Astyanax mexicanus: one gene and its partner. The protein of the gene in region 2 binds, or shares a complex with, the protein of the main gene of each other region. Links are inferred from orthologs where the notes say so. Each region holds a gene or a part of one and is shown on either strand. Other genes may lie near its edges.

The links.
Region 1: odad4 (region 2) and odad3 share a complex: the UniProt entries of both Homo sapiens proteins name them as parts of the outer dynein arm-docking complex. The link is inferred for Astyanax mexicanus from reciprocal best matches to the Homo sapiens genes ODAD4 and ODAD3.

The regions. Positions count from the first base shown.
Region 1 is NC_064412.1:26,045,299-26,048,898, reverse strand, and holds the start of odad3 (coiled-coil domain-containing protein 151), read right to left. Parts: upstream 2,843-3,600; 5' UTR 2,733-2,842; exon of another isoform or gene 2,109-2,732; intron 2,032-2,108; 5' UTR 1,904-2,031; coding exon 1,819-1,903; intron 1,391-1,818; coding exon 1,269-1,390; intron 416-1,268; coding exon 341-415; intron 1-340. UniProt on the Homo sapiens protein: Component of the outer dynein arm-docking complex (ODA-DC) that mediates outer dynein arms (ODA) binding onto the doublet microtubule. Involved in mediating assembly of both ODAs and their axonemal docking complex onto ciliary microtubules.
Region 2 is NC_064426.1:25,917,554-25,921,701, reverse strand, and holds the start of odad4 (outer dynein arm-docking complex subunit 4), read left to right. Parts: upstream 1-1,031; 5' UTR 1,032-1,147; coding exon 1,148-1,264; intron 1,265-1,447; coding exon 1,448-1,579; intron 1,580-2,520; coding exon 2,521-2,674; intron 2,675-3,229; coding exon 3,230-3,288; intron 3,289-3,530; coding exon 3,531-3,678; intron 3,679-3,987; coding exon 3,988-4,148. UniProt on the Homo sapiens protein: Component of the outer dynein arm-docking complex (ODA-DC) that mediates outer dynein arms (ODA) binding onto the doublet microtubule. Plays an essential role for the assembly of ODA-DC and for the docking of ODA in ciliary axoneme.

The DNA of each region.
Region 1 (3,600 bases), on a different chromosome or scaffold from region 2:
AAAAAGATAAAGAGAGATTGGTGTAGAAATGAATTATGACTGTTTTTGGTTTATGTGAAAGGAGCTTAGAGGAAATAATATACAAAACATTTTGGGTAAATGCTCTTTAATCTTTATGGGTAGATTAGACTAAGGCTGTCACTATTATCCGAGGATCACGTGTTTGAGTCCAGGATCACGCTGCTCATCATCAGAGGCTGGAATATGATCTTGGTCAGAACAGAGTGTCTGTTAGTTGCTGTATCAAAGCTGACTAATACTGTACACATCCTGACCAAGCTCTAGTTGTTTTTTATTGATATGTTTAATACAAATCAAAGGTGTGTGTGTGTGTTCTGACCTTTGCGGACATGTTCCGGAAAGCAGCTTTTTCTGAGCGGCTCTGAAACACCTCTTTAATTTCCTGCTCATCTCCCTGGATAAAGACAGAGACACATACAGGTAACTTGTTACGGAACAGAGTGTACAGGTGTAATATTTCATACATTGTGTGAGTGGATGTTTCTTACTGTTTGTGTGTTCAGTGTACAAAGGTTCAGTCTCCATTATCAGTGTGTAGTGTGAGTGTCCCTATATGACACACTTTTACAAAGAGGGTTATTTAAGTGTTTCTCTGTTAAGAAAATGGGTCTTTATTAAATTCCTGACACCTGAAAGACCATTTAAATGCTTAAATGTTTCTTTGCCTGGTTAAAATGGTCTTTAATATGATGTAGAATCTGTTCTAGATGGTTCTGCAAAGACAAAAAGTGGATCTACAGCACCAAACAGGGTCCCACTGTAAACACAATTATTTTAAACCCGTTTACATAGAATTAAGGTGTGAGTTGTGTATTACTAAAAGTGTGTATAATGTGTGTGTGTGTGTGTATGGTATATTGTTCCCCAATCACATTCTGCTCCCTACTCACTCCACCTATCATCTAAGTAACACTCAGCAATATTAAATACATAATACAGGATTTATAAATAATTGTCCCAAAACTGGTTGACACGTCACTGTTTTGAAAGTGCAAGCAGCTGATCTGAGGTCAGAATTTTTTGTGCCCAAACGTGTCTAAATGAAAACCTTTGGTAAAAAATGCACTACTAATAAAAGCCGCACTACTGTATACAAGCTATTTCCCTCAGCTGCTTCTGCCTGATAGCAAACAAGGGCGTCCAATACCTCGCCCTGAACTGGAAGCTCCCTTCACAGCACAGAGTGTGTCTTCATATGGAATATCTGTCAGTAGTGGAGTGTGTGTGTGTGTGTGTGTGTGTGTTACTCTGAGCGCGTGTGCCAGTCTCATGTTGAGTCTCCTGTTCTCCTCGCGCAGCTGCAGGATGGTCTCCTTGTTCTTCTTTATGGCGTTTTCGGAACTTTCAAAAAACGCGCTTCTTTCGCCCTCTGGCGGTCGAGAACAGAACAACAGCTCAATCACTATAAAACTCATTAGCGATGCTCCGCATTACATTACATTACATTTGGCAGACGCTTTGTCCAGAGCGACGTACAATAATTATGCACCTAGAGTAATAGAAGTTCAACAGAAAAAACATTTTATACAGGGCCTAAAAGACATTAAAGGGAATAGTGGGACAGAGGAGGAAGGAGGGGAAGAATGAAATTGAATTAGTAAAAGTAGTTCGTTTGTTAGAGGTATTACGAGAGTAAGGGCTCTTTGAAGAGTTCTCTCTCAGATAGCCAGATATCTGATCTGGTAGTGGAAGGTAGTTTACATTATTGGAGAACTCTGTATGAAAACACTCTGGATTATCACATCCCCTGTCATTCAGTCACCAGCAGCTGTTCCATGTGCCGCTTGCTAAACTCACCCAGGAGCTGTATTTTCCTCTGCAGTTCGCTGATCTGGTCATGGATTGGAGCTCTGATAGAGTTTGAGCTGAACAGCGCCGACATTTTTAGCAGTTTTATTAAGTTCTGCTGTTATGTTGAAGTCTAGTTCCTCCCTCTGCTCTCTCTGTTTACCTCTCCTACGATACACTGGTTGCTTAGCAACTCCCACTTCCGCTGAGAGGCGGAGCACTCTGTAAAGACAGTCACATTGTCCTGACAAAGCCAATAAGCTAATGAGTGTCTTGCTTCAGGAATCGCACACGATTCATTAAGGACAAACATTTATTAGACATTTATTGAAGGACAAATATGTATCATACAACATAATACTAAACACCCATACTTTGCTGTGCTGACTTTGTGTTTGCAGTAATCTTAGTTCATCAATACACACCACTTTCCTTCCAGCAAATATACGTTCTGACATGTGGTTTCCAACCATTTACATGAGAAACTATACAAACCAAACATACTATAAATATCTTATAAATACACATGTGAATGATCAATCCTCTACGGATCATCAGTAATACATAGATGATCAATACATTATCAAGGCACAGAAATGAAGTATCAATACAATTAGCAAGGCACATAGGCTGCTACAAGTTAAATTCAGATTGGAGTTCATTCATTATTGCACCATCATTATTTTAACACCTGTCAAAAGGTACACAACCTGTAAACAAACCAGTAAATAAATGCCACAATTCAAATATACAGTCGAATCAGACCAATCAGACCTTAGAAATATGCAGATAAACATCAGCAACAGAAACACTAAGTAACATTCAGTAACAATAATTCTCAGTAGTATTCAGTAACAGTAACACTCAGTAACGTTCAGTAAAAATAACTTAGCTACATTTAGTAACAGTAAAATTCATTATACCACAGTTAGTTTCTACCCTGTGACCCAGTGTGATTGGCTGAGAGGTGTTCTATGAGTTCCATTATCAGCTGGTAATGCACTGTAACCAAAGCTCTCCATTTATTACTCTGCCACATACAGGTAACCTAGCAACAACGCAGGGCTTACCAGCTAAACAGCACAGCTACAAACAGAGCAGCAATGGAACTATTTTAACTCGTGGAGTTTTTATAACCAAACATATCATATTTTTCTCTTCCTCTTTAATTCAAAATCTTTCAATATACAGCGTTAATGAAACTATGGTATAATCGCAATAATACACTCAAGGTTCATGCTATAACTTGTAATATTGGCAAAGCAGTGCCAATATAACAAGTGATAGCGTTCCCTCTCTTGTATTATTTCTTAAGTAATATTCAGTAACAATAACACTAACTGTAAAACTCAGTAACAATCTCTGCTACCCTGTTTACTATTTAAAGCAGACTGGTCATAATTCATAGTAAATTGACTGGATGAAATATGTTAATCCAGTTTTGCACTAAAACCTTGTTTCTCAATGAAATTCTAAGTCCCTCTTCCCTTTTCTCTTCCTCTCTGTCTCTCACTCGGTGGTCCAGGCAGTTTTGACCTTGTCGTTGGGTTTCTTCAGGGTGCTGAGGAGGTTCGGGGACATGTGGTACGGCCTCTCTGCAGATCCATCATTCCGCTCTAGATCCTCCACTGCGGGAATAAAGCTCAGTCAGACATTTCAAACCACAACATCACAGCATGTCTTTTATTTAGATAGATGCTGGTAGATGCTAACTACATTTTATTCATAGAACAACTGAGCAATAACTCTGAATTAACTAAACTCAAATACATAATTTAGGATGCTCATTAG
Region 2 (4,148 bases):
GTCATGTAAAGTCAGAAACATAAGCAACACAGACTTAAATGACTAATCACAAAAAGAATATTTTTTTCTGAAAAGATGTTATCCTGCTTTTGTTAGTATCCGTGTCTCTACTTTCTATAGCATTTTACCATATTTTGGAGCATAGCTGTGAGGACCTTCATACTCCTGCCCAAACCCTATACCACTGTGTTTTTACTGGACCCTTGACTTGGTATCTCAAAATAACGATTTGGTATCTCAAATAATAACTTGATAATGCAGAATAATTAAGTATCTCAAAATAATAATAAATAATAATAAATAATAAATCAAGCTAAATCAAGACTTTATATGTCAAAATAACGACTAAGTATCTCAAAAACGAGTTAGTATTCCAAAATAATTACCTAGTATCTCAAAAACGAGTTACTATTGTAAAAGTAATTGCTTCCTCAAAGTAACTGTTTAATATCTCAAAATATCGTTAATATTACAAAATACGACTTGGTATTTCTCTAACGACTTGATATGTCAAAATAATGACGTAGTATCTCAAAAACGAGTTAGTAGTTCAAAAATGACTACTTAGTATCTCAAAATACCGACTTAATAGCTCAAAATAATTAGTATCTTTAAAAAGTTAGTATTTCAAATAATTACTATCTCAAACTAACTGTTAATATCTCACAATAAATATTTTAAAATAATGACTTATTATTTCAAAATAACTGCTTGGTATCTCTAAATGAAGACTTGGTATGTAAAATAATGACTAACCACTTAGGTATGTCAAAATAATGAAATTATATAATATACTTAATAATGAAAGATATATGTTAAATTTTAGGTGACGAGAATGGCCATACATTTTTCTTTTGCCATGCCTCCCTAGCAATATTATTTCTGTATTGTGCAAACTGTTATGTGTATATTATTTAATATGTAATGTGTGTAAATATGCTTGGTATCGATAAATAAAAAACAGTATAATTAAATAACCGCTGTGGGGAACCGGATTAGCCGCTAAGCTAACACTAAAGTGTGGTTTTGTTAAGCGGTTGCTAGGAGACCACAGACGGGACAGTCCTACCAAACAGGCTAAAGCAGCCTAGTTTACTAACCTACCTCAGTCAGTCATTTAGCCCCGTTTAGCTGCATTTCAGCTAAAATGTCCGATAACGAGGGAGAACAGGGTCCTAAAAGCACGTTTTCTATCTATATAGCTGAGGGAGAGCAGCTGTTCAACAAAAGAGAATACACTAAAGCCATCCAGAGCTACTCTACGGTAAGTCCTCTCCGCTTTCCTTCTGTGGAAACAAATAACTTTTCTGTGTCCCGTACTGTGTCTTTCATATTTAACGTTACTAAATAAAGAAAAGGAAATGGATGCAGACGTATAGTTTGAATTGTTTAATATAACTACAGTTTGGTTTAAAGTACAGTAACGTTGTGTGTATGTGTGTTTTAGGCTCTGACATTACAGCCTGAGGACAAGAACTGCTTGGTTGCCAGATCTAAGTGTTATGTGAAATTGGGGGATTCTGAAAATGCACTGAAAGATGCTGAGGCTTCTCTCAAAGAGGATAAGAAATTTTTCAAGGTGCTATTTTCAGAAAGAAAAGTACACTCACACTACCGGTCAAAAGTTTTACAATAAAAAAAAAAAAAAACATTTTTCTGATTATGTTTGTTATCTTAGCTCTTCAGGTCCTGTCAATAACCAGAAATGGTACAAAACAAAAAACTTAATGAGAACCAGTTTCATCATAACATTTTTGATGGTCTTTACAACTGCACTTGAGGATACTTTCAAAGTTTCATTAAATATTTCAGATGGACTGACCTTCATTTCTTAAAGTAATTCTCTTCTTTAATTAGTTGAGTAGTTCTTGCCATACTATGTATTCAAGCATTATTTAAATAGAGCTATTCAATGTATACCAACTCTACCTCTTCACAACTTCACAAATAATGCTCTCAAACACATTAAGAGGCAAGACATTCAAGTAATTAACTCTTGACAAGTTCAGCACAGCTGTTAACTGAAAGCCATTCCAGGTGACTCTACCTCATAAAGCTGACTGAGAAAATCCAGCCAAGATGTGCAAAACTGTGTCTACCTAAGCAAGAAGTGCTTACTTTGAAAAATATAAAATATAAAACATGACTGTTTACTAAATATGTTTATCTTGGTAGTTTGGATGCTTTAGTATTAATCTACAATGCAGAAAAACACATCACTCAATATAGTTAAAAACGACAGTATATCAAATTCAAGGTCAAATTGGTAAAATGATTTCCAGATAAATTGCATGTAAATGTTTCACTAGTTAAATTAATTTGCATAGGTTTTCCTAATCTGGTTTAATTCATTTAGAGTTCTTCTAAACAAAAAACTTTAATTATATAAAACAGTATATAAAAGAATATTGCAGAATATTGTTGATATGATGAAAATAAAACACCTACATGTGATTTAAGAGTCATTGACCATCTTGGTTTTAATGTTGTCCTGAGCACATGGTTTTCTCGTCTTTCCAGGGTTTGTATCAGAAGGCAGAAGCTCTGTACACTAAGGGTGAATTTGAGTTTGCACTCATCTTTTACCACCGTGGTCATAAGCTGCGTCCAGAGCTGCAGGAGTTCAGGCTGGGCATACAGAAAGCTCAAGAGGCCATCAATAACTCTGTGGGCAGTGAGTACTTATAGACGGTTTTCTACAGTAATTCTCAGTGATGATGCACAGATAACACTGTTTCCTGTTACTGAAAACGACACAATGTGTCCAAATGTATATGCAAATGCACACACACACACACACACACACACAGCTTGTCTCAGTCTCTGTAAAGAAGTACTGCCAAAAGAAAAAAACGATTTTCTGCAGCAAAGAAAAGTGAACCGATTGGCGCCACACTCAAAACAAAACATACAACCGTTTTCTAAAATGATGGTGCCCCTCCATCCAGTACTTCAGGATGAGATGGGGGGTTAGGGAGGAAGTGGGATCATCAAACATCCTTACTAACCTTACTACTGCTCTTGTGGCCGAATGCAATCAAATCCTGGCAATTAAAGCTGAATAAATTATTTTTAATACCATTAATTTAAGAAGAAACTATATATGAGCATGTATTCCAATACTTTTGTCCATATAGTAAATGTGATACCTGCTTATAAATCCTGATATTTATGCCAATCATTAATTCATATAAATCTTCTAAAACAGAATACTTTTCTAATTTTTCAGGTCCCTCATCTGTGAAGCTAGAGAATACATCTGACCTCTCCCTGCAGAAAGCTGATGAGGCAAGTTCAAAACTATTTATCCTCTTCAGGCACTTCCAGAAGCTGTATTTTGGTGAAACTCATTATGAATTTCATTGTAAGATAATTTGGTTTCAGCTGTGAACCCTATTAGTGTACGGTCCTCACAGAGAGATGGTTTATATGCTAAAATAAATGACTAATTCATTACAGAATGTTATGTGGTTCATTATTCCATTTTACTTGTGTTTATTTGTTTGTGTGTTTTGTATTTTGGCTGAAAGCTGAAAAAGGTTCCACCAAAGCCTGTGAAGAAGGTGCAGCTGAAACAGCAGGCCCAGAAGACGGTCATGAGTGAGAGAACAGCAAGGCAGCTACTGGGAGAGCTTTACACTGACAAAGAGCACCTGGAGAAACTGCTCAGAGATGAAGGTGTGTGTGTGTATGCATGTGTATCGAGTTATCTGATTATACGTACAATCGTACTCTACGTTCCTATATCGGAGTAACAATTTCTCAGTGCGTGTAAACTCTTAATGGGTGGATTCCAGGATTGATTCTTTACAAGAAGGATGTCATCAACAATTTTGGCATACAGTGTAAAATAAGCTTTGTTTGGGTGTGAAAATGCTCAGATATCATTAAATATGCCTATTTATAATCCTGTAAGTCTTTAAAGTATGAAAGATGTGTTATTTACATATGTTTTGTTTATGTGACTTTTTTATATTCTCTCTTTAGATCTAATAAAAGGAAAGACACGCAATGGCGAGCGACTGCAGGATGTGATCCTGAACTGCATCTCATATCTGGACACACGGACTGAATTCTGGCATCAGCAGAAGCCCATCTACGCCCGGCAGCGAGACCAAAAGCTCCTGCGGCAGCAGTGGAAACGTACC